2 linked regions of the Anolis sagrei genome follow. The main gene of each other region encodes a partner of the protein of the gene in region 2 in a complex. Links are inferred from orthologs where the notes say so. Each region holds a gene or a part of one and is shown on either strand. Other genes may lie near its edges.

The links.
Region 1: the proteins of PLXNC1 (region 2) and SEMA7A are in contact, whole or in part, in a crystal structure (PDB 3NVQ), measured with the Homo sapiens proteins. The link is inferred for Anolis sagrei from reciprocal best matches to the Homo sapiens genes PLXNC1 and SEMA7A. Residues at the interface, in NP_005752.1 of Homo sapiens: Arg131, Thr151, Glu152, Val153, Asn195, Pro196, Ala197, Ala198, Ser199, Asp200, His201, Thr203, Ala206, Lys208, Arg213, Ser214, Leu215, Ala216, Thr217, Gln218, Glu219, Leu220, Arg222, Lys224, Glu272, Ala350, Ser352, His353; in NP_003603.1 of Homo sapiens: Gln194, Tyr196, Asn197, Gly198, Lys199, Arg202, Arg204, Tyr213, Ser215, Asp216, Thr217, Gln270, Gly271, Gly272, Glu273, Ser274, Ser275, Leu276, Val278, Ser279, Lys280, Pro372, Thr375, Glu376, Phe378, Gln379, Asp382, Arg383.

The regions. Positions count from the first base shown.
Region 1 is NC_090023.1:274,684,602-274,695,942, reverse strand, and holds the start of SEMA7A (semaphorin-7A), read right to left. Parts: upstream 5,765-11,341; 5' UTR 5,738-5,764; coding exon 5,602-5,737; intron 1-5,601. UniProt on the Homo sapiens protein: Plays an important role in integrin-mediated signaling and functions both in regulating cell migration and immune responses.
Region 2 is NC_090025.1:154,774,271-154,786,676, reverse strand, and holds the start of PLXNC1 (plexin-C1), read right to left. Parts: upstream 4,473-12,406; 5' UTR 4,345-4,472; coding exon 3,352-4,344; intron 1-3,351.

The sequences.
Region 1 (11,341 bases), on a different chromosome or scaffold from region 2:
AGAGTGAACTGGTCTTTCCACAGATATATAAACCCCCTTTTTTTCCCAGCTCCAGACCTCACCCTCTGAGGATGCCTGCCATAGATGCAGGCGAAACGTCAGGAGAAATGCCTCTAGAACATGGCCATATAGCCCGAAAAAACCCACAAGAACTGAGTGAACTTTTTTTTTGGTCGTGTCAGGAGCAACTTGATAAACTGCAAGTCCCTTCCGGTGTGAGAGAATTGGCTGTCTGCAAAGACGTTGCCCAGGGGATGCCCAGATGAATTGATGTTTTTTTATCATCCTTGTGGGAGGCTTCTCTCATGTCCCCTTCGCATGAGGAGCTGGAGCTGATAGAGGGAGCTCATCCGCCTCTCCCCGGATTCAAACCTGCGACCTGTCGGTCTTCAGTCCTGCTGGCACAGGGGTTGAACCCATTGCGCCACCGGGGCTCCAGTGAGCAGTGAACTGCAAATGGGAGTTGTAGTTTTACAAGGTCTTGGGCCTTCTCTACCAAAGAGGGTTACATGCATCTCCGAACTATAACTCCCAGGATGCCATACCACTGAGTCATGGCAAAGTAGTGCCAAACTAGATTAATCCTACGGCAGGTATAGGAAAACCCAGATGTGGCCCCTTGGGCTTTTTTCTGAGTCCCTCCTCTCTCACACCATCCTATCCTTCCTCTCTTCCTCTTTCCTTCTCCTTCCCTCGTCCTCTTTTTCCTTCCCTCTTTCCTCCTTGGCTCCATCCCCTTCCACCCTTTTGTCCTTCCCTCTTTCATCTCTCTCTCCCTCTTTCCTTTTCTTCCCTTTTGTCTTCCCTTCCTTCTCTTTTTCCTTTATCCTTCCATCCTTCTCTTCCTTTCTTCTCTTTTTCCTTCCTCCTTCCATACTTCACCCTTTCACCCTTCCTTCCCTCCCTTTCGTCATTGTGGTTGACAAATGGAACGGCTCTGGATTACGTTTTGGATGGTGTGATTTGAATTGAGGTTTCAATCATTCATGTTTTAATTGTTATTGTGTATTTGAGACATGGATGTACGGCAACAAATTGCTGCTTGTTGTAAGGCCGCCTTGAGTCCCTTCCGGGGTGAGAAACACAGGGTGTAAATACGGTAAATAACAACAATAAATTTCCTTCTTTTCTCCCTCCTTCCCTCTCCCTCCTTCCATCCTTCCTTCTTTCCTTCCTCCCTCTCACCCTCTCCTCCTTCCTTCCTTCCTTCCTTCCTTCCTTCCTTCCTTCCTTCCTTCCTTCCTTCCTTCCTTCCTCTCTCCTCCCTCCTTCCATCTCTTTCTCCTTCCATCCCTTCCTCTTTCATCTTTCATCCTTCATTCCTTCCCTATTTCTTCCCTCCTTTCCTTGCCCTCTTTCTCCTTCCATCCTTCCTTCTTTCCTTCCTCCCTCCCACCCTCTCCTCCTTCCTTCCTTCCTTCCTTCCTTCCTTCCTTCCTTCCTTCCTTCCTTCCTCTCTCCTCCCTCCTTCCATCTCTTTCTCCTTCCATCCCTTCCTCTTTCATCTTTCACCCTTCATTCCTTCCCTATTTCTTCCCTCCTTTCCTTGCCCTCTTTCTCCTTCCATCCTTCCTTCCTTCCTTCCTCTCTCCTCCCTCCTTCCATCTCTTTCTCCTTCCATCCCTTCCTCTTTCATCTTTCACCCTTCATTCCTTCCCTATTTCTTCCCTCCTTTCCTTGCCCTCTTTCTCCTTCCATCCTTCCTTCTTTCCTTCCTCCCTCCCACCCTCTCTTCCTTCCTTCCTTCCTTCCTTCCTTCCTTCCTTCCTTCCTTCCTTCCTCTCTCCTCCCTCCTTCCATCTCTTTCTCCTTCCATCCCTTCCTCTTTCATCTTTCACCCTTCATTCCTTCCCTATTTCTTCCCTCCTTTCCTTGCCCTCTTTCTCCTTCCATCCCTCCTTCTTTCCTTCCTCCCTCCCTCCCACCCTCTCTTCCTTCCTTCCTTCCTTCCTTCCTTCCTTCCTTCCTCTCTCCTCCCTCCTTCCATCTCTTTCTCCTTCCATCCCTTCCTCTTTCATCTTTCACCCTTCATTCCTTCCCTATTTCTTCCCTCCTTTCCTTGCCCTCTTTCTCCTTCCATCCCTCCTTCTTTCCTTCCTCCCTCCCTCCCACCCTCTCCTCCTTCCTTCCTTCCTTCCTTCCTTCCTTCCTTCCTTCCTTCCTCTCTCCTCCCTCCTTCCATCTCTTCCCTCCTTCCATCTCTTTCTCCTTCCATCTTTCATCCTTCATTCCTTCCCTATTTCTTCCCTCCTTTCCTTGCCCTCTTTCTCCTTCCATCCTTCCCTCCCACCCTTCCTTCCGTCTCTCCCCCAAGTGAGAGAGTTTGCCCCTGCCTGTTCTCCAGTGCAGATGCCCCCCCCCCCCCCGCCCCCACTTAAGGAACCAGAATCTGGCCACTGGATCTCAAGAACGCAGCAAAAGAAATACAAAGTGCCGCCCTGCCAATCTCAAACTGATCCTCCCTTCAATTTGGGTCTGGCCTCACTATGCAATTACCACTGCGTAAAAGCCACACACCTACATAAGGCGTCTCTGTGGACGGAAAAAGAGTCCAACCTGCCTCCAGAGCACCAACCCTACTATTTGGGGTGAGCGAAGACGCTGGATTTGGCAAAGCGTTGAGATGGCCATCCCAGGTGAGCCAAGCAGGAAAGCAACCTGCTCACAGCTTCACAAATTGCCTACACCATTGTCAGGTCGATGGGAGTTGAAGTGCAACAACGTTAAACTGCTTAAGAGTTGGGTGCAGCCCAAGGTGTGGAAAGGTGTGGAAGGAATACATCTCCCTAATTGTGGGTGTATTTATATCAGACCTGGGCAAAGCTTGGCCCTCCCTCCCTCCCTCCCTCCCTCCAGGTGTTGTGGACTTCAACTCCCACAATTCCTAACAACCTCGGGCCCTTTCCTTCCACCCCCGCACCCCCGCCGTTTAAGCTTAAGTGGAGGAGGGGAAAAGGAGTCATGGCCATTCAAGGGGGGGGGGGGGGCACTTATTTATTTATTTATTTTCAATGTATTATTAGTAACTATTGTGTGCTACTATTATTAACTAGCATGTACTATTATGTAATATTAATATTTACCACTACATACTACTACGCCCTACCACCACTACGCACTACTGCTCCTCCTAGCAATATATGTAGTACTACTGCTACTACATACTACTAAGCAGTACTAGTATAGCTACTACATACTACTAAGTACTACTACATCATGCTATTATGTACTATTAATATTAACTACTATGTGCTATTTATTTATTTATTTATTTAAAACACTTCTACCCCACCCTTCTTGACCTCCATGGAGGGACTCAGAATGTACTCTTAATATTAACTACTACGTACTACATAGAATCATAGAATCATAGAATCCTAGAGTGGGAAGAGACCTCCTGGGCCATCATCCAGTCCAACCCCATTCTGCCAAGAAGCAGGAATATTGCATTCAAATCACCCCTGACAGATGGCCATCCAGCCTCTGTTTCAAAGCTTCCAAAGAAGGAGCCTCCACCACACTCCCTCCGGGGCAGAGAGTTCCACTGCTGAACGGCTCTCACAGTCAGGAAGTTCTTCCTCATGTTCAGGTGGAATCTCCTCTCTATACAACATTATCTACCTACTTCTACTCCATACTACTCCTACTCCTACTCCAATATTTTATTTATTTATTGTATCAGGAGGAAACCAAACGGTAGTATTGCAATTTTTTAACAGACAAACAACCACACCTCCTGCTACTACTCCAAAGTACTACTACTACTATGTAATACTATTAAATCAATCAGTTTGACTGAATGCTTAGACCGCAGGTGTTGTACTTCCAGAACCAATAGGTACCGAGAGACCCAATCATAAAATACCAAACCAGGACGCCTTAAAGCAGCGTTTCTCAACCTGAGGGTCAGGACCTCTAGGGGGGTCACGAGGGGGTATCAAAGGGGTCACCAAAGACCATCAGAAAAACACAGTATTTTCTGTTGGTTATGGGGTTCTGTGTGGGAGGTTTGGCCCAATTCTATAGTTGGTGGGGTTCAGAATGCTCTTTGATTGTAGGTGAACTATAAATCCCAGCAACTACAACTCCCAAGGTCCATTTCCCCCAAACTCCACCAGTGTCCACATTTGGGCATATTGAGTCGTTGTGCCAAGTTTGGTCCAGATCCATCCTAGCTTGACTCTCTGGATGTAGGTGAGCTACAACTCCCAAACTCAAGGTCAGTGCCCACCAAGCACTTCCAGTATTTTCTGTGGGCCAAGTTTGGTTCAATTCCATCACTGGTGGAGTTCAAAATGCTCTTTGATTGTAGGTGAGCTATACATCCCAGCAGCTACCACTCCCAAACACAAACTCAATCCCCCCCCCCCCCCCCCACAAAAAAGACCTCACCAGTATTCAAATGTGGGCATATTGGGTATTTGTGCCAAATTTGGTCCAGTGAATTAAAATACATCCTGCATCTCAGATATTTACATTATGATTTTTAACAGTAGAAAATTTACAGTTATGAAAGTAGTAACAAAAATAATGTTACGGTTGGGGGTCACCACATCATCATTATTTATTTTATTTATTTACTTTATTTCTATACCGCTTTTCTCAGCCCTCAGGCGACTCAGAGCGGTGAACAACATCAGCACAAATATATCACAAAACAAGTATACGGCAATTAAAAGCAATTGTAACATAAATCATTAACATCCGAATAACAATCATGAGCGCCTCAGCACTAAAATCAGAGTCCAGTCTCGTCATTCATTATTCCGTATTCCTATGTTCAATTACACTGTTTAATCAAATGCTTGTTCGAACAGCCAGGTCTTGACCTTTCTCCGAAACACCAGCAACGAAGGTGCCTGTCTGATACCTGCAGGCAGGGCGTTCCACAGCCGAGGGGCCACCACTGAGAAGGCCCTGTCTCTCGTCCCCGCCAAGCGTGCCTGTGATGCAGGTGGGACCGAGAGCGGGGCCTCCCCAGACGATCTTAGTGTCCAAAGGTGTTCCACAGCCGAGGGGCCACCACCGAGAAGGCCCTGTCTCTCGTCCCCGCCAAGCGTGCCTGTGATGCAGGCGGGACAGAGAGCGGGGCCTCCCCAGACGATCTGAGTGTCCCAGTCGGTTCATGGGAGGAGATGCGTTGGGAGAGGTAAGTATGCCCCTACATAAGGAGCGGTATATAGGGATCGCGGCACGAGGAAGGCTGAGAACCACCGCCTTCAAGAGAGGACAGGAACCCGCTCTTGTCCATTAGAAGCCCAGGCACGGTCAACGCCACTGAAGGCTCGGGCAAGGGAACTGGGAGTATCCCCAGCGAGCCCACAAGGGCCAAGGGACAAGGGCTAGCCCCCCGGGAGACCGTCCACTGCCTGACTTGGGATTCCGTCTCCCACCCAAGGGCCAACCGGGGCTGGCCCTGCTTAGCCCCCAGCTCAGACCCAACTTCTTTTTGCGTGCAGAGACGGAGAGGGAGGGAGAGATCTATGTGGCTGTGGTGAGCCCCCCCCCCCCCCCCCGGCCACAGGGCTACCCCATCAGGCAGGCGGGCGGGGAAGGAAGGAAGGAAGACACCCTTGGTCGGGCTCCTGGGTCCGGCCTTACCTCTCGGGGGAGTGAGGATCCTGGGGCTCGCCGAAGAGGAGGAGGAGGCTGCCGGCAGGGAAGGCAGGCACAGCCCCGCCAAGAAGCAGCAGCAGCCCAGCAGCCCGCCAGACCTCCGCGTCCACGCGCCAGCCATGGCCAATCTCGCCTCGGCCAAACTCACGCCGCCGCCGCTGCTTCATGCTCGCAGGAGAAGAAATAGGGGCGGCGCCGGCCAATGGGGAGCGAGGGGCGTGGCCCGGAAACAGGCGCCCTCAGCGGCGGCAGCAGCAGCAGCAGCCACCTCCGCATCACCAGGTGAGTGAGGAAGCTCCATCAGTAGTTAACGTTTGTTATGTTGGGCAAGTTTGCCCTAGATGCAACATCGATGGGGTTCAATATGCACCCTGGCTGCAGGGTAAACTACAACTCCCACTATGGTGAGTCAGTCCCCTGAAAACCCTCCCGTAGGTTGAGTTAGTCATGGGGGCTCTGTGTGTGCCCAGTTTGGCCCAGGGCCATCATTGGTGGAGGTCAGAGTTTCTCTGGTCGTGGGTGAACTGCAACTCCCAGAAAAGAAAGTCAGTTCCCCCCAAACCCCTCCTGTAATCAAATTTCAGCATATCCTATCTGTGTGCCAAGTTTGGTCCAGATCCATCTGTGTTTGGGTTCACAGTGCTCTCTGGATGTAGGTGAACTACAACTCCCCCAAATCAAGGTGAATTCCCCCCAAAGACCTTCAGTATTTTTTGCTGATAATTTTGTGCCAAGTTCGTTCCAGGTCCATCGTTGGTGAAGTTCATAGTGCTCATTGATTGCAGGTGAGCTATACATCCCATTACCTACAATCCCAAAATGTCCAGGCCAATTCCCCTCAAAACCCACCAGTACCCAAATGTGGGCATATTGGATATGCACGCCAAGTTTGGTCCAGATCCATCCTTGTTTGGATTCATAGTGCTCTCTGGATGTAGGTGAACTACAACTCCTCTAAATCCCTCCAAAGACCTCCCACTATGTTTTGTTGGTCATGGGGGTTCTGTGCGCCAAGTTAGTTCCTTGCTCCATCATTGGTAGAGTTCAGAGTGCTCTTAGATTGAAAGTGAACTATACATCCCAGTACCTACAAATCATGGTGAATTCTCCCCAAAGTTCTCCAGTAGGTTCAGATGCAGATCTATTCTGCTCTGTTTGCCGTGTGCCATAGAAAAGAATAGGAAAGGGTTAATCAGGGAGAGGCAGTGGGCGGGGTCATGCAAATAGAGAGAAGTAAGAAACACTGGGATGTCTGTGGTGGAGGAAACACATAACTATAGATGAAGTTGTCCCTGAATGAACGCCTTCACTGGGGTGGTGGGCAGTGTGGTGTCTGTGGAGGACATTGGCCGGGCTCTTGGACATGGTCGTGGTGCTCACTATAACCGGCAATGTCATTGGAGGGAATCATAGAATCAAAGAGTTGGAAGAGACTTGGTGGGCCATCACCCAGTCCAACCCCATTCTGCCAAGAAGCAGGAATATTGCATTCAAAGCACCCCTGGCAGATGGCCATCCAGCCTCTGCTTAAAAGCTTCCAAAGAAGGAGCCTCCACCACACTCCCTCCGGGGCAGAGAGTTCCACTGCTGAACGGCTCTCACAGTCAGGAAGTTCTTCCTAATGTTCAGATGGAATCTCCTCTCTTGTAGTTTGAAGCCATTGTTCCATTGCGTCCTAGTCTCCAAGGAAGCAGAAAACAAGCTTGCTCCCTCCTCCCTGTGGCTTCCTCTCACATATTTATACATGGCTATCATCATGTCTCCTCTCAGCCTTCTCTTCTTCAGGCTAAACATGCCCAGCTCTTTAAGCCGTTCCTCATAGGGCTTGTTCTCCAGACCCTTGATCATTTGAGTCGCCCTCCTCTTTTGGTATCTCCTGGCCTTTGGTATCTCCTGAGTAGTGGGAGCTATAGCTATTCATGCAAGTGGCAGCCTCTCTGTGTCAGTGGACACCCCAGCCACACACACACATACATATTTTCACTTTTATTGTGTGTCTAGGCAAACTATTATTTGCTTAGTCCTACAAGGTTGTCTTTTCCAAGACGCATTGACCGCTTTCCCTGTGGTATCAATCCACACAATGAGAAATTAGAATCTATGCAGGTAGGCTCAGGTCCTTTCAGTCGTTGCTCCATCCTTGAGCTGGGGCTTATTGAGTGTCCAGGGGGTATATTGAGATACGAGCATCATTTCCAGGTGGGCATCAATAACAACAACAACAACAACAACACTACTATGTAACAAAATTTGAAAAATGTTTTGTTCCTCGATTGAAAGTGCTATTTCGTGTTTAATTGTGCAGAATCCTAGAATCATAGAATAAAGAGTTGGAAGAGACCTCCTGGGCCTTCATCCAGTCCAACCCCATTCTGCCAAGAAGCAGGAATATTGCATTCAAATCACCCCTGACAGATGGCCACCCAGCCTCTGCTTAAAAGCTTCCAAAGAAGGAGCCTCCACCACACTCCCTCCGGGGCAGAGAGTTCCACTGCTGAACGGCTCTCACAGTCAGGAAGTTCTTCCTCGTGTTCAGGTGGAATCTCCTCTCTTGTAGTTTGAAGCCATTGTTCCCTTGCGTCCTAGTCTCCAAGGAAGCAGAAAACAAGCTTGCTCCCTCCTCCTCCCTGTGGCTTCCTCTCACATAGTTATACATGGCTATCATATCTCCTCTCAGCCTTCTCTTCTTCAGGCTGAACATGCCCAGTTCCCTAAGCCGCTCCTCATAGGGCTTGTTCTCCAGACCCTAGTCTCCAGGGAAGCAGAAAACAAGCTTGCTCCCTCCTCCTCCCTGTGGCTTCCCCTCACCTATTTATACATGGCTCTCATCATGTCTCCTCTCAGCCTTCTCTTCTTCAGGCTAAACATGCCCAGTTCCCTAAGCCGCTCCTCATAGGGCTTGTTCTCCAGACCCTAGTCTCCAAGGAAGCAGAAAACAAGCTTGCTCCCTCCTCCCTGTGGCTTCCTCTCACATATTTATACATGGCTCTCATCATGTCTCCTCTCAGCCTTCTCTTCTTCAGGCTAAACATGCCCAGTTCCCTAAGCCGCTCCTCATAGGGCTTGTTCTCCAGACCCTAGTCTCCAAGGAAGCAGAAAACAAGCTTGCTCCCTCCTCCCTGTGGCTTCCTCTCACATATTTATTTATACATGGCTATCATATCTCCTCTCAGCCTTCTCTTCTTCAGGCTAAACATGCCCAGCTCCTTAAGCCGCTCCTCATAGGGCTTGTTCTCCAGACCTTTTATCATTTTAGTCGCTCTCCTCTGGACACATTCCAGCTTAGAGTCAATATCTCTCTTGAATTGTGGTGCCCAGAATTGGACACAATATTCCAGGTGTGGTCTAACCAAAGCGGAATAGAGCATGGGGAGCATGACTTCCTTAGATCTAGACACTATGCGTACTTTGAAAGCAGTTCTATTCAATGTGGTAAGATCATTGGAACTGTAGTTTTGCAAAGCCTGGTGCCTCACCAAACTACAGCTTCAGTGATGCCCCAGCCAAGGAGGCTCACGTGGGGTCCAGCGGCATTGGCTTTACAGTATAGCTGGACCCAAGAAAGGAGTCCGAGCCAGCCAGCCAAACGCCCCGGGGGGTCATCGCACGCACGCCTGTTTCCCCCTCCTGTGGCTTTTCTCTTGAACTTGGGAGGGTGTTAAGGCCGGACTGCAATTAATGAGTCATTAGTCAAAACACATTATGCTTTAGGAGAGGAATTGAGGAAATGTGACCCGACCCTTCAAATACTTTGGAGGACCAGGAGGAAACGAAGGAGATAAAATAGAGACCAGCCTGTGCCTTGGTTCGCAAATGGAAAAGGACGGATGGCCGCGGGTGTGTCCACACTGTCGAATTAATGCAGATCAATACCACTTGAACTGCCAAGGCTCAGTGCTATGGAACCCTGGGATTTCTAGTTTGCCCTCTTTTTTCCAACTTTCATGTTTCCATAGCACTCAGCCACGGCAGTATAAGTGGTATCAAATTGCATTAACTCTACAGTGTAGATCAAGCATGGGCAAACTTTCTAACTTGGGGGCCACGTGCTAGCATTCCCTGCTCACAGGACTGGCTGCCCAGGGATGGGTGGGTGGATGGGTGGATGAGTAGGTGGAAGGAAGGAAGGAAGGAAGGAAGGAAGGAAGGAAGGAAGGACAAAAGGGAAGGAAGGGAAGGATGGAAAGAGAAAAAAAGGAGAGAGGGAAGGAGGAAGGAAAGAGGGAAGGAAGGATGGAAGGAAAGAAAGAGAAAGGGGGGGAAGGATGGAAGGGTAGGATTATAGAGAGAAGGAAGGAAAGACAAAAGGGAAGAGAAGAAGGAGAAAGAGGGAGAGAGGGATGAGAGAGGGAAGTAAGGATGAATAGGTGAAAGGGAAGGAAGGAAAGAGAGGGAGGGAGGTTTGGAGGAAGGGAAGAGAGAAGGAAGGAAAGACAAAAGGGAAGGAAGGGAAGGATGGAAAGAGAAAAAAGGAAGAGAGGGAAGGAAGAAAGGAAAGAGGGAAGGAAGGATGGAAGGAAAGAAAGAGAAAGGGGGGGAAGGATGAAAGGGTAGGATTATAGAGAGAAGGAAGGAAAGACAAAAGGGAAGAGAAGAAGGAGAAAGAGGGAGAGAGGGATGAGAGAGGGAAGTAAGGATGAATAGGTGAAAGGGAAGGAAGGAAAGAGAGGGAGGGAGGTTTGGAGGAAGGGAAGAGAGAAGGAAGGAAAGACAAAAGGGAAGGAAGGGAAGGATGGAAAGAGAAAAAAGGAAGAGAGGGAAGGAAGAAAGGAAAGAGGGAAGGAAGGATGGAAGGAAAGAAAGAGAAAGGGGGGGAAGGATGAAAGGGTAGGATTATAGAGAGAAGGAAGGAAAGACAAAAGGGAAGAGAAGAAGGAGAAAGAGGGAGAGAGGGATGAGAGAGGGAAGTAAGGATGAATAGGTGAAAGGGAAGGAAGGAAAGAGAGGGAGGGAGGTTTGGAGGAAGGGAAGAGAGAAGGAAGGAAAGACAAAAGGGAAGGAAGGGAAGGATGGAAAGAGAAAAAAGGAAGAGAGGGAAGGAAGAAAGGAAAGAGGGAAGGAAGGATGGAAGGAAAGAAAGAGAAAGGGGGGGAAGGATGAAAGGGTAGGATTATAGAGAGAAGGAAGGAAAGACAAAAGGGAAGAGAAGAAGGAGAAAGAGGGAGAGAGGGATGAGAGAGGGAAGTAAGGATGAATAGGTGAAAGGGAAGGAAGGAAAGAGAGGGAGGCAGGTTTGGAGGAAGAAATGAGAGAAGAAAGGAAAGACAAAAGTGAGGGAAGGATGAAAGGGTAGAAGGAAATTAAGGAAAGGCGAGGAGGAAGGAAAGAGAGAAGGAAGGACAAAAGGGTTGAAGGAAATGGGGGGAGAGAAAAGGAGGAGAGGGAGGAAAGAGAGAAGGAAAGCAGGAAGGAAGGAAGGAGAGAGAGGGAGAGAGAGGGAAGGAAGGACAAGAGTGGAATGGAAGGAGAAAGAGGGAGGGAAGGCGGAAGGAAGGAGAGAAGGAAGGAAGGATAGGATGGTGAGGAAAAGGAGGGCCTGAGAAAAGGGCCCAAGGGGGGCCACATCTGGCCCGAGCCCTGGGTTTGCCCATTCCTGGTGCTGATGCGCCCTGAATATGGATTGCTGGTAAAAGCAGGAAGCTCTAAAGGCAAGTCATGGTGAGGATGCCCGTGTGACCTCAAGGTCTCGCAATCCCAATCATAACTCATATTATTGATTTCGATT
Region 2 (12,406 bases):
TGGATCTCCAGATGCTTGTCTACTACACCTTTATTTCTCATCATTAGATTTCATGACTAGAGCTGGTGGGAGCTGTGATACATTAGTTGGAAGGCTGCAGTTTGTTCTGTTTAGTCAGGAGAATGGGGTTTGAATTTAGATACAAGGCTTGTAGATATGTCTGACTTTAAAATTTCCCCACCCCAGAGCCACTAATGTTGTTGGGTTGCAATTCCCATTATCTTTAGTCTGCATGATGGACAATCAAAAGTGATGCGAGTTGTCATTCAATAACATCTGGAGACCCAAACTGGGTAAAAACTAAAGAGTACTGACCATTATGTTAAAAATATATAGTTGGCTCTCTGTATCTACGGATTCACCATCCATGGATTCAATGGCCCGTTGAAGGTTTATGTGGCCCTTAAAAAATGAGTTTGATACTCCTGCTCTATATATTTGCAAGAGTGCTAAAATCAGATTGCTTATGTACGCTAAGAAAAACTGGATGCAGATCAAGATGATGACATGGGCAATGTTAGACTTTGACTGAGGAAACATAGTTTTAAATCCCCACAAAGCCAATTGCTCTGACTTAGCCTGATTTACCTTGCAACTGCTTGTATGATGTGAAGAACGTGAAGTAGATAACATGCCTGAACTTCTTGAGGGGATGGTGGAATAAAAATAACATTTGGCCAAGGTGCCCAACTAAAGCATTATGAGATTATTCTTGGAATTTGGGGGCCAACACCACATTGCAAAGATAAAGCAGACCAGACTGTTTTCACAATGCATCATGATTACATGAGAAATAAGGTTGAACATTGTGAAAGCCACCCATTATATGGCTCTCAGTCTCCTCCCAGTAGACTTAAATCAAGGAAAAGTTTCATGAGAACCACCACTCCTCTAAATGTTCCTCCAGCAACAGCAAAAATATCCCTGTGGGCAGCAAAATCAGGCAATTCCAACTGGATCCCCCCTCCCATGAGGGTCTTCCTCCAGGGGCAAACCAAGAATGAGCAACTTGGAAGTCACTGAACAGACTTAGGGGCGGAGTTGGCAGATCAAAGGACAACCTGGCAAAATGGTACTACCTAGCAGAATCCTCCACTTTGTGTGACTGGAGTAGAACAAACAACTCAGCATCTGTATGCTTGTCCACAATGCCCTGCATCATGCACAGAGGAAGAATTGTTTAAAGCTACAGAATGCAATCGCTGTTGCCTGTTTTTGGTCTAAAACTATCTAGCACCTTGTGATCCCTTTATTTTATCAGTTGTGGATAAACTATTTTATGCAATGCTTTTGACACAAAACAAATAATGATTACGTGAGTGTTACAAATACAGAAGTGGGTTGCTAGATGTGCAGTGCAATTTTAGATATTGGGAATGAGGAACTCTGTAGTTGGCAAGAAATTATGAGAACTACTATTCAAAATATCAGGGCAGCCTAAGTTTCACCATGCCTGCTACAGATGTGCCCAAACAAAGCCCAACTGAATTTAGTATGAAAGTTCAGGCCAGATGTGCATGGGATAGTACTCTAATCTGTTTTCAACTTTGTTATGTTGTGTATACACAACAAATGTACCACTATATGCATTAGGAACCCACTGTTTCTTTGCACATATATAGAGAGACTGACCTAAGTAAACTCTGATGCTCAGTATCATAATGTTAAGATGGAATACTTGAAGATGTTAGGCAGAATACAGGAGGAAGCTAACAGACAGAGACTGTCACATGTTTAGTGTTCATAACCTATAAAACATATGTACAAAACTGATAGAAAACTTCTGCCCTGTTTGCTAGATTCACCCCACAGAAGATCCTGATCTGGCCTACTTTTTTCTCTTTTTAAAGTGCAGAAGATTTTGCAGAGAACACTGAACCCACCACATTTGGCACACAGACCCAACACGGCCAACTGTGCATACAGGTGGGGTTTGAGGGTGATTGACATTGGCACCGGGGAGTTACAGTTCACCCACATCCTGAGAATACTGAACCCAGCCGACGTCGGATCTGGACCAAATTTGGCACACAGACCCAACACGACCTACTGTGCATACAGGCGGGGTTTGGGGGTGATTGGCATGGGCAGTGGGGAGTTATAGTTCACCCATCTCCTGAGAAGGCTGAACCCAGCTGATGTCTGATCTGAACCAAACTTGGCCCAAGATGGCCAACTGTGAATACTAGTGGAGTTTGGGAAGAACTGGCCCCAGATTTTTGGGAATTGTAGTTCACTCACATCCTTATGCATTTTCTTATGGGAACATTCATAAAAAACAAAAGCAAAGACTTATTCCCCCCCCCCCCTAAGAAATAGAGTAACATATGATCAAACTGATACTATCTAACATCCAAAAACAAAAATGCCTTTTTCAAATAATATGAGCACCGCCAGGTTCCCAAGCTAGTGCACAAATGAAGCTGTAACAGAAACTTCCCCATCTTCTGTTCCTCTTTTGCAGAAAAACATCAGATGGACTGGAAAGTTGTCTCCCATTTTTGGAATTTCCTACTGGTTTCCTAAATCCCCACCATGAACTTAAAAACTGATATCGAAACAGGTCACTGATGCTGTGAGGAAAGGCAGGAATCATAGTCAAATGCTTAAACTACTCCACTAGGCATGGGCAAACTTCAGCCCTCGCTCCGCGTGTTTGGACTTCAACTCCCGCAATTCCTAACAGCCTCAGGTCCTTTCCTTTTCCTGGTGGAAAACCTTTTCCTGCAGGAAAAGGAAGGAGCCTGAGGCTGTTAGGAATTAGAATCATAGAATTGGAAGAGACCTCATGGGCCATCCAGTCCAACCTGCTGCCAAGAAGCAGGGAAATTGCATTCAGAGCACCCCAGACAGATGGCCATCCAGCCTCTGTTTAAAAGCTTCCAAAGAAGGAGCCTTAACCACACTCTGGGGCAGAGAGTTCCACTGTTGAACGGCTCTCACAGTCAGGAAGTTCTTCCTAATGTTCAGATGGAATCTCCTTTCTTGTAGTTTGAAGCCATTTTTTGCATCCTAATCTTCAGGGCAGCAGAAAACAAGCTTGCTCCCTCCTCCCTATGATTTCCTCTCATATATTTATGTCATGTTTCCTCTCAGCCTTCTCCTCTTTCAGGCTAAACATGCCCAGCTCTTGAATCCGCTCTTCATAGGGCTTGTTCTCCAAACCCTTGATCATGTGAGTCGCCCTCCTCTGGACACATTCCAGCTTGTCAATCTCTCTCTTCACTTGTATTGCCCAGAATTGGACACAATCTTCCAGGTGGGAGGGCTGGAGGGTTTGCCCATGCCTGTTGTGCCACACGGGGTGGCTGCTGCAGCCCAGCCCTCCCGGCCCTTCTCCCCGCTACTCACGCAGGTGCTCCCGGGGGAGTCCAAACGGATCTCGGCCGCCGTGTCTTGGCTGCACTTCTGCACCTGGCCCAGGATGCGCTCCAGCGGGAAGAGGCAGACGGCCGTGGCCCCGGGCGCCCCTTCTTCGGCCGCCGCGAAGAGCCCGACCCAGAGGCCTTTGGGCTCCAGGAAGGAGGAGGAGAGGATGCGCGCCCGTGACCCGCACCGCAGGATGACTTGCCCTTTCAGGACGAAGAGTTCGCCTGGGTTCAACTTGACCACCAGCATCTTGGGCTCCACGCTGAGGTTGCGGTGGAAGTAGGGGAAGAAGAAGTGCCCCTTCCAGTCCAGGACGGCCGAGAAGTTGAGGTACTGCTCGCCGGCGAGCTTCAGATACTGGTTCGGCTCCACGCCCTTCCCCCCGCTCGTGACGAAGACGGCCACGGTGGCGGTGCCCTCCTCCAGGATGCTGCTCTCGGCCCCGCAGGCAGAGACCGAGGCGTTGGGGCGCTTGTGGCTGGTGGCCGCCAAGAGGAACCACTGCCCGGCGCTCAAGTACATCAACCCCGCGGAAGAGACGCCCGGCAAGGAGCTCACCAGCTGATTCCCGAAGGTCCGGGTGGCGTTGGGGCCCCTGGCGCGGTCCTCCCGGAGGCAGAGGCAGCCCGGCCGCGTCCAGCAGGTCAGCAGCAGGCGGCTCTCGTTGCCGAAGGGCAGGAGCAAGATGTTGGTGGCGTCCTTGGCCTCCTGGCACCGGCCCACCGACTTGGAGGACAGCGAGGGCTCCACCTCGTACCAGCACCGCCCGCTGGCCACCAGCAGCTTCCCCTCGGCCACGGCCAGGTTGTCGATGCTGGAATCGAAGGACAGGACGGGAGGAGGGGGAGGAGGAGGGCTCCCGGCCAGAGTCCAGGACAGAGAGGAGAGCAGCCACGCCGCCGCCCACGCTGCCCCTCCGGCCATGGCCTTGGGCTTGCCTTCGAGCGGCGCCACCGGCAAGTGTGCCGCCAGCATTGAAGGCGGGCACCTCCTCCTTGCCTCCCTCCTCCCTTTCTCTCTCTCTCTCTCTCTCCCTCTGGTTTCCTCCTCCGCGGAGGAGCAGAAGTTCCTTTTCTCGGTGAGGAGCCCGCTTCAAGGCTTTCCCCCGAGGCTCTTCTCTGTCCACGCCTTTCCCCACCTTCCAGAGGAGTGGCTCCGTCCTCTGGGAGACTGGCCTCTAGGGGTGAGAAAGCGAGCGAGGGGGCTCAAGAACACCTTCCCCTGCTTTCATTTATTTCCTGCCAAAAGCACTGCATAAAGAGATAAGGGTAAAACTGATAACATAAATTCAGTTGTTTGGGCACATCTGTAGCAGGCATGGGGAAGCTTGGACCGCCCGGATATTTTGAATAGTAGTTTTCATAGTTGGAGGAAAATTCTGAGAGGGCCTTGGACCGGGAGAAGATCCAACCAGTCCATAGAGACATCACACTGGCAACAAAGATCTGCATAGTTAAAACAATGGCATTCCCCATAGTAACCTACGGATGTGAGAGCAGGACCTTAAGCAAAGGAAGGAAGATAGATGCTTTTGAACTGTGGTGTTGAAGGAAAATTCTGAGAGTGCCCTGGACTGCAAGAAGATCCAACCAGTTCATACTTCAGGAAATAAAGCGGGACTGCTCATTGGAGGGAAGGATATTGGAGGCAAAGATGAAATGCTTTGGCCACATCATGAGAAGCTTGAGGAAGACAGTGATGCTGGGGAAAATGGAAGGAAAAAGGAAGAGGGGCCGACCAAGGGCAAGATGGGTGGATGGGATCCTTGAAGTGACTGGATTGACTCTGAAGGAGCTGGTGGTGGGGACAGCCAATAGGGAGCTCTGGCATAGGCTGGTCCATGAGGTCATGAAGACTCGGAAGTGAGTGAATGAATAAACAACAACAAAGTTTTCATAATTTCTTACCTACTACAGAGTTCCTCGTTCCTGATATCAAAGATTGCACTGGACACCTAACAACCCACTTCTGTATTTGCAACCTTATTGTAGCACTCAATAATTATTTATTTTGTGTCAAAAGTATTGTGTAAAATAGTTTATCTAAAACGGATAAGATAAAGGGATCACAAACTGCTAAATAGATTTAGACCAAAAACAGGCAGCAGCAATTGCTTTGCCTGTAGCTTTAAACAGTTCTTCCTCTGTGCATGAGGCAGGGCATTGTGGACAAGCATATAGCTGTGGAGTTGTTTGTTCTGCTACAGAGTCACACAAGGTGGAGGATTCTTCTAGGTTCTCAGCCTGTGGGTATCTAGATGCTTTTGCCTTCAACTCCCAGAAATCCTAACAGCTGTTAAACTGGCTGGGATTTCTGGGAGTTGTAGGTCAAAACACTTGGGCACTCACAGGTTGAGAAACACTGTTCTAGGTATTTCCATTTTGCCAGGTTGTTTTTTGATCTGCCCTCTCCACTTCTGAGTTTGTTCAGGGACTTCCACATTGCCCATTCTCGGTTTGCCCCTGGAGGAGGACCCTCGTGGGGTGGCCATCTAGTTGAGATCTCCTGGTTTAGCTGCCCAGAGGGATACTCTTGTTGTTGCTGGGGGAACATTTAGAGGAGTGGTGGTTCTCATGAAGCTTTTCCTTGATTTCAGTCTACTTGGAGATGGCTGATAGCCATATAGTAGGTGGTTTTCACAATGTTTAATCTTATTTCTCATGTAATAATGATGTATTGTGAAAACATTCTGATCTGCTTTATCTCTGTAATTTGGTGTTGCGCCCCCCCCCCCCCCCCAATTCCAAGAATAATCTCATAATGCCTTAGTTGGGCACCTTGGCCAAATGTTATTTATATTCCACCATCTCAAGAAGTTCAAGCATGTTATCTACTTCATGTTGTTCACATCATACAAGCAGTTGCAAGGTAAATCAGGCTACGGAGTCATAGCAATTGGCTTTGTGGGGATTTGAGTCTACTACTCTCACAATTGGCAGCAACTTCCTGTCACACATTTGGGGGGGGGGGGGCAATGCTAGCTAGCTTATAGTCTATTAACAGGTGTAGGTTTGAGACATCCTGTGATTATTCTACTTGTCTAATTCAGGGCTATATTCACCTGCTTCATGTGGGCAGATTTATGGGGACAGGCATACTCAGCAGTTGTGTAAGACAAGACCAGGGCTGATGTTTTTATTAATTCTGAATCTGCACCCTATGCACTATTATTAAGTTTCTGCAGGATTTTATTGTGTGCAGCTACTTTGTGCTTGGTGTTCATACAGTGTTTCCTAAATGTTAGTGTTTGGTGTAAGGCGGCACTGAGATAATTAGGATGGGAACAGTGTTCAAATTCTTGGCCTTCCCAGGCAACCGTCAGTTTCCTGTTGGCTTCACGATTTTGTAAGTGGAAAGCACACACTTGTGTCCGACAGGGCTAGGCTTCAGGTGGTTGTCTTAGTAGTAGCTAGAGAGATGTTTCAGGGCATTAGTAAGTTGGTTTTCAATTGTTTCAAAGTCTTATGCTTGTATTGTTAAGCCAAAGTCATCAGAGTATATAACGCTCTTTGTGAGTGGTGGTTGTGGCTGGTTGTTAGTACAGATGCTAAACAAGATTGGTGTAAAAACATTGAGGTAGACTAACAGGCAGCTCTGCAAAGACTTGCCTTCACCTTTCCTCTGAGATGAGACGCTCCTCTCCAAACGTTGCCTATCCCCCTTTCCTCTTGGGAAGGAGAAAGTGCTCTTGCAAGGCTCCCCTCACTTGAAACGAAGAGGGTCCTCTCCAAGCTTTACCCAAGCCTTTTCTCCTCTGGCAGATGAAGAATGAGAGGCTCCCCTATAATTCTTGTCCCCACTTTCCTCTGATAGGTGAGAGGCTCCTCTATAAGACTCTTATATTCTTCTGCTTGGAGACAGAAGACAGGTTTCTCCATTACACTCACTGTCCCTTTCCTCTGAGAAAAGAGGTTCCACAACAAAGCTTCCCTTCTCTTTTTCCCCTCTGGTCAGTGAGAAAAGAGAGGCTGAAAGTCTTGCCTACCCCACCCCTTTTCCTTTGCTTGAGGCTCCCCTAAAGGCCCCTTTCCCTCCTCAGTGAGAGAAGAGAGGATCCTCTGCAAGACTCCCCCTCCCCCTCACCCTCCACCCTCCACCCTCCACCCTCCACCCAAGTTTCCTCAGCTGCCTCCAATGAAGAGTCTCCCGCTCTTCCCTCCTTTTGGGCGCGCTCCCAATCTCTCTCTCGTGCTCGCTCCCTGCCCTCAGGGCGCGTGACCCTGAGCTGGACACTCGCGCGCGCGCGTTTGCTCGGCCCCGCCCCCTCCTGCCAATCCTCACCCTTAAGGCTCCCCGGATATTCTCCTAGACAAATTTGCAGGGAGGGGCCTGCCTGGAACCGGGGCTGCTGGCCAAAAGCTGGCAAGGCTGACCCCTCAGGAGGAGGTTGGGTAAGGCCTCCTCCCATATCCCATCATAGCCAAGAAGGGAAGAGTTTGGTTCAGGGTGCAGCTACTCTGTAGAACTGATCCAGTTTGACACCACTTTACAGCTAAAGTACCTCAATGCTATGGAATCATTGCAGCAGGGCCATACAAAAGGTGACTGGCACAACCTGGGGGGTCATAACCAGATATAGTGAAGACATTTGCCCTTGCTCGTTGCTACTCGGCTGATGAGTACGCACACCCCGAGTGTGGAATACATCTCACTACAACAAAACAGTGGAGCTAGAAATAATATCCTACAACAGCTGACTGGCACAGTCTTGGGATCACAACCAGACACAGTGAAGACATCTGCCCTTGCACTTTACAACTCTGCTGCGGAGTATACATGCCCAGTGTGGAATACATCTCACCACATCAAAACAGTGGATGTGACTCTTAATGAGACATGCTGCATTATCACAGGATGTCTATGTCCAACACCACTGGAGAAATTATACTTTTTAGCCCGTATTGCACCACTTGACATCCATCAGGAAGTAGCAATCTGTAATTAAAGGACCAAGGCAGTGACATTTCTGGCCCATCCTCTGATCTGATATCAGCCACCAAGCCAACACCTTAAATCAAGAAATAGCTTCCTCAGATTTACAGAGATACTGTTAGGAACACCTCAGCAAGCAAGAGTCCAAAAGTGGCAGGCTAAAATCCAGCACCTCAATCAGTGGCTGATACCGAATGAGAGACTCCCTCCTGGGCACACAGAAAACTGGGCAAGTTGGGAGGCGCTGAACAGGCTGTGCTCTGGCATCACAAGATGCAGAACAGACCTTAAGAAATGGGGCCACAAAGTGGAGTTCACAACATGTGAGTTTGGAGAAGAGCAAACCACAGAGCACTATTACAATGCAATCTGAGTCTTGCCACATGCACAATGGAGGATCTTCTTATAGCAACACCAGAGGTATTCCAAGTGGCCAGCTACTGATCAAAGTTTTAAAACTGTGTGTGTGTGTTTAAAGATACATTACAACTGTACCCTTGGTTCGCTTCTGATACGATAAATAAATAAATGGCAAGGCCTGTAGCCTTCTCTGCCAAAGAGTGCTGATGCACTGGCTGACTATAAACTGCACACCCTGCAGTTATTCCCCACCAGAAACAGGTTTTTGGATGCTAATGGACCTAGTTCTTGTCCTTGCTCTCAGTTTTTCAGAGGGTGTATCTGCACCAGGCATTGGGAAACTTTGACCCTCGAGGTGTTTTAGATTTCAACTCCCACCATTCCCAACAGACTCGGGCCCTTTCCTTTCCCCCCTCAGCCACTTAAGCATAAGCCCAAGTTTTCCCAGGCCTGATCTACACTGTAGAATTAATACAGTTGACCCCACTTGCACACAAATGCAGAGAGTTTGATCTTTAACCTTCTCTACCAAAGACAACTGGGGTTTCACCAAGCTACAAATCCCAAGATTCTATAGCATTGAGCTAATGCAGTTAAAAGTGGGGTCAAACTGCATTTATTCTACAGTGCAGATGGACCCCTAGACAGCCATGGGCTTCCAGATGAAGGGCTTCTCTTCAGAGCAGCTGGAAGACTTGGCGTAACTGTTGTTGTTATTCACCATCAATGTTACCTTTCTGAGTGTATCTACAGTGTAGAATTAATGCAGTTTTAGCACCACTTGAACTGTTGTGATTAAGTGCTGTAGGATCATGGGAGTTGTAGTGTTACAAGTTCTTTAGCTTTTTCTGCCGAAGAGTGCTGGTGCCTTATATTCTGTTGGTGTCTCATTTTTGTTTGTCTGTTTTTGGCATTCCACAGTATCTGTAGAACTTGCCATAAGGGATTTTCACTGCTAAGGACATTAGAGGCATGGAACAACAGGGAAGATGATAAGTGAAGGACAATATCATCCAAACCCTCATAAATATTTATTTATTAGATTGAGATCACACTTCCCCCCAAATGGGACACATAATAGCTTAGAATTCAAAGAATGAGGATGGGTAATATTTCATAAATATCCTGCCCAAGGATTTGTCATCTTTTCTTCAAAGTTTATCATGTGAACAAAAAAAGAAGGGGAAAGTTTTTGGCAGTGTCAGAGGATTGCTGGGATATTATGCAATGTGTATCATACCATGTGATGATATATTGGATTATAGGGTGAGATAAGAGGGTAAGTGTGGTTTGGAAAATCTATGAAATTGGAACAGAATGAAGTTGGGATAGAACAGGGATAGAATCTCAGCAAAATTTGCATATGGATGGTATTTGGAGGAAAGAGGGAGGGAGGTGGTGTTATAATTTGATTGTGTAATTTTTTAATTAATTGGTTTTAAGTTGGTGATGTTTTAATTATTTGGTTTTAATGTATATGTTTTGTTTATTCTATGTATGTATATATGTGGCATCGAATTGTGCCTTTTCTGTGAGTTGCTGAGGCCCCTTAGGAATGAGAAGGGCAGGATATAAAAGCAGTGAGTAAATAAATAAATATGTGCTGAAAGTGAGGAGAGCTAGGGTGCATCTACATGGTAGAATTAATACAGTTTGACACCACTACAACCACCATGGCTCAATGCTATGGAACCATTGGAGTTGTAGTTTGGTCACTCTCAAGCACTCTTTGACAGATTATTATTATTATTATTATTATTATTATTATTATTACTATTATTTTAGTGATCTGCAAAAACTAAAATATGGTCCGCTGCCTCACTGTTACTACACTGTTGAAATGAGAGTGACTGGTGTCACAAAATCTCCTTATAGTGCTAGGCTTATTAAATATGGTTTTCTGTGGGCAAGTAGATGGCAACTACTGGATGGCATATGTTCTGTATCAGAAACTAGAGCTGATGTGGTCTAGCCAATGCAGTTTTCACCATAGTAGGATTGTTGTTAACTACTACTGTCCTACGAATTGGCAAAGTAAGAAACCATCTACGATCGAAGAATGGCTGAAAAAAATAATGGAAATTATGAATACAGATAGACTAGCATACCAGACACAAACACATCAGGGTTTACCAAAAACTCAAACAGACTGAAAACCAATTAAGGATTATCTAAAACAAACCAAGGTAATAATAATATAAACTAGATAGAATGCATAAGGAAATAGCTGTTCACAAGTAACTACAGAAAGAAAGGGGAAGTTATCAAGAAAAGAAGAAAAGGGAACTGCTTGTTTATTAAAAAGACCACAGCAAGAAGTAGATGGAAGTCAAGATACTGCCATTTATTTTAGTCCCTTTCCTCTCCCCCCCCCCTCTTTTTTCTTTTTTCTGTTTTCCCACCTTTTTATCTTTTCCCTTTTCTTTTTAATACAATGTATATATAAAATAAACTAACTACCATCAAGTCAACTAATAGAAACTAAAGGAATCAAAGCCATCCAAATCACTTGATCATTAGCTCAGATCTTGAAGATTCAGAGATGTGTCTTCTTTCATTGAGTCTATCCATTTGTGAAGTCTTCTTTTTCTTCTTTTTACTGCCTTCTATGTTACCAAGCATTATTGTATCTTCCAGTGAGTCAGGTCTTCTCATGATATAGTCAAAGTCTGACAGTATACATTTGGTTATCTTGACTTTTAGGGAGAGTTCATAATTTATTAGCTCTAGGAGCCATTTATTTGTCTTTTTAGCCATCTGCGGTATAGTGAAATGATTAAAGAACAAATGACATCTCAAGTCTCAATTGTGGAACAAAATCCTTCTCTGAGCCCATTTTAAAAGAACAGGAGGCAAATAATAGTGGGGCAATGGGTAATGTGGCATTGAGAAATAGATCTACTGAATGTTTTACAACACAGAGAGTCAAAAAATACAAGAGCAGCTCATTCAATCCCTTGATAGACAGGAATGGTCTGTAAGAACTAAAATATAGTCTGCAGCCTCACCATTACTACACTGTTGCAATGAGAGCTACTGGTCTTGCAAAACCCTCTTATAGTGCCGAAGCTTATTAAATTTGGTTTTCTGTGGGTGAGTAGATGGCGACTACTGGATAGCATATGTTCTGTATCAGAAACTAGAACTGATGTAGTCTATCCAATGTAATTTTCTGAATCAACACCCCAAATAACCAAACCGAATCTAAAGTTGACCAAAAACTGATTCATAACCCTTTTGGCACAAATGTTGGAGAGTGGTCCCTGGTCAAAGTGGTCCCTGGTCAAAAGAAGGTTGGGAACCACTGATATACAGGAATTAAGAAATAAAGCACTCCCTACAGATGACCACTCCAGTGAGGTCCACCGTCTTCCAAGGCAATCTCTTCCACCATTGAACAGTTCTTCCTGTCCCACTCAATGTTTAGATGGAATCATTTTTCTTGCAGTTTGAAGTCATTGGTTTGTGTCCTAGTCTCTGGAGCAACAGAAAACATGCATGCTCCATCTTGTAAATGCTGTCCCTTCAGATATTTAAAGATGGCCATCATACTGTCTCTCGAATACACAGACTAAAAAGAAAGTACTCAGCTTGTAACTGCTGCAATTCTGACACATATGGTTCTTGATTGTTTGCCTGCAGTTCAATTCTTTGGGCTTTACTTTGGTTCAAACCCATCTGTTTTACAGAAAATCCAGATTTTTTTTGGCAGATGTCCGGCCCTCTAGGCAGCATCGTTTGCTGT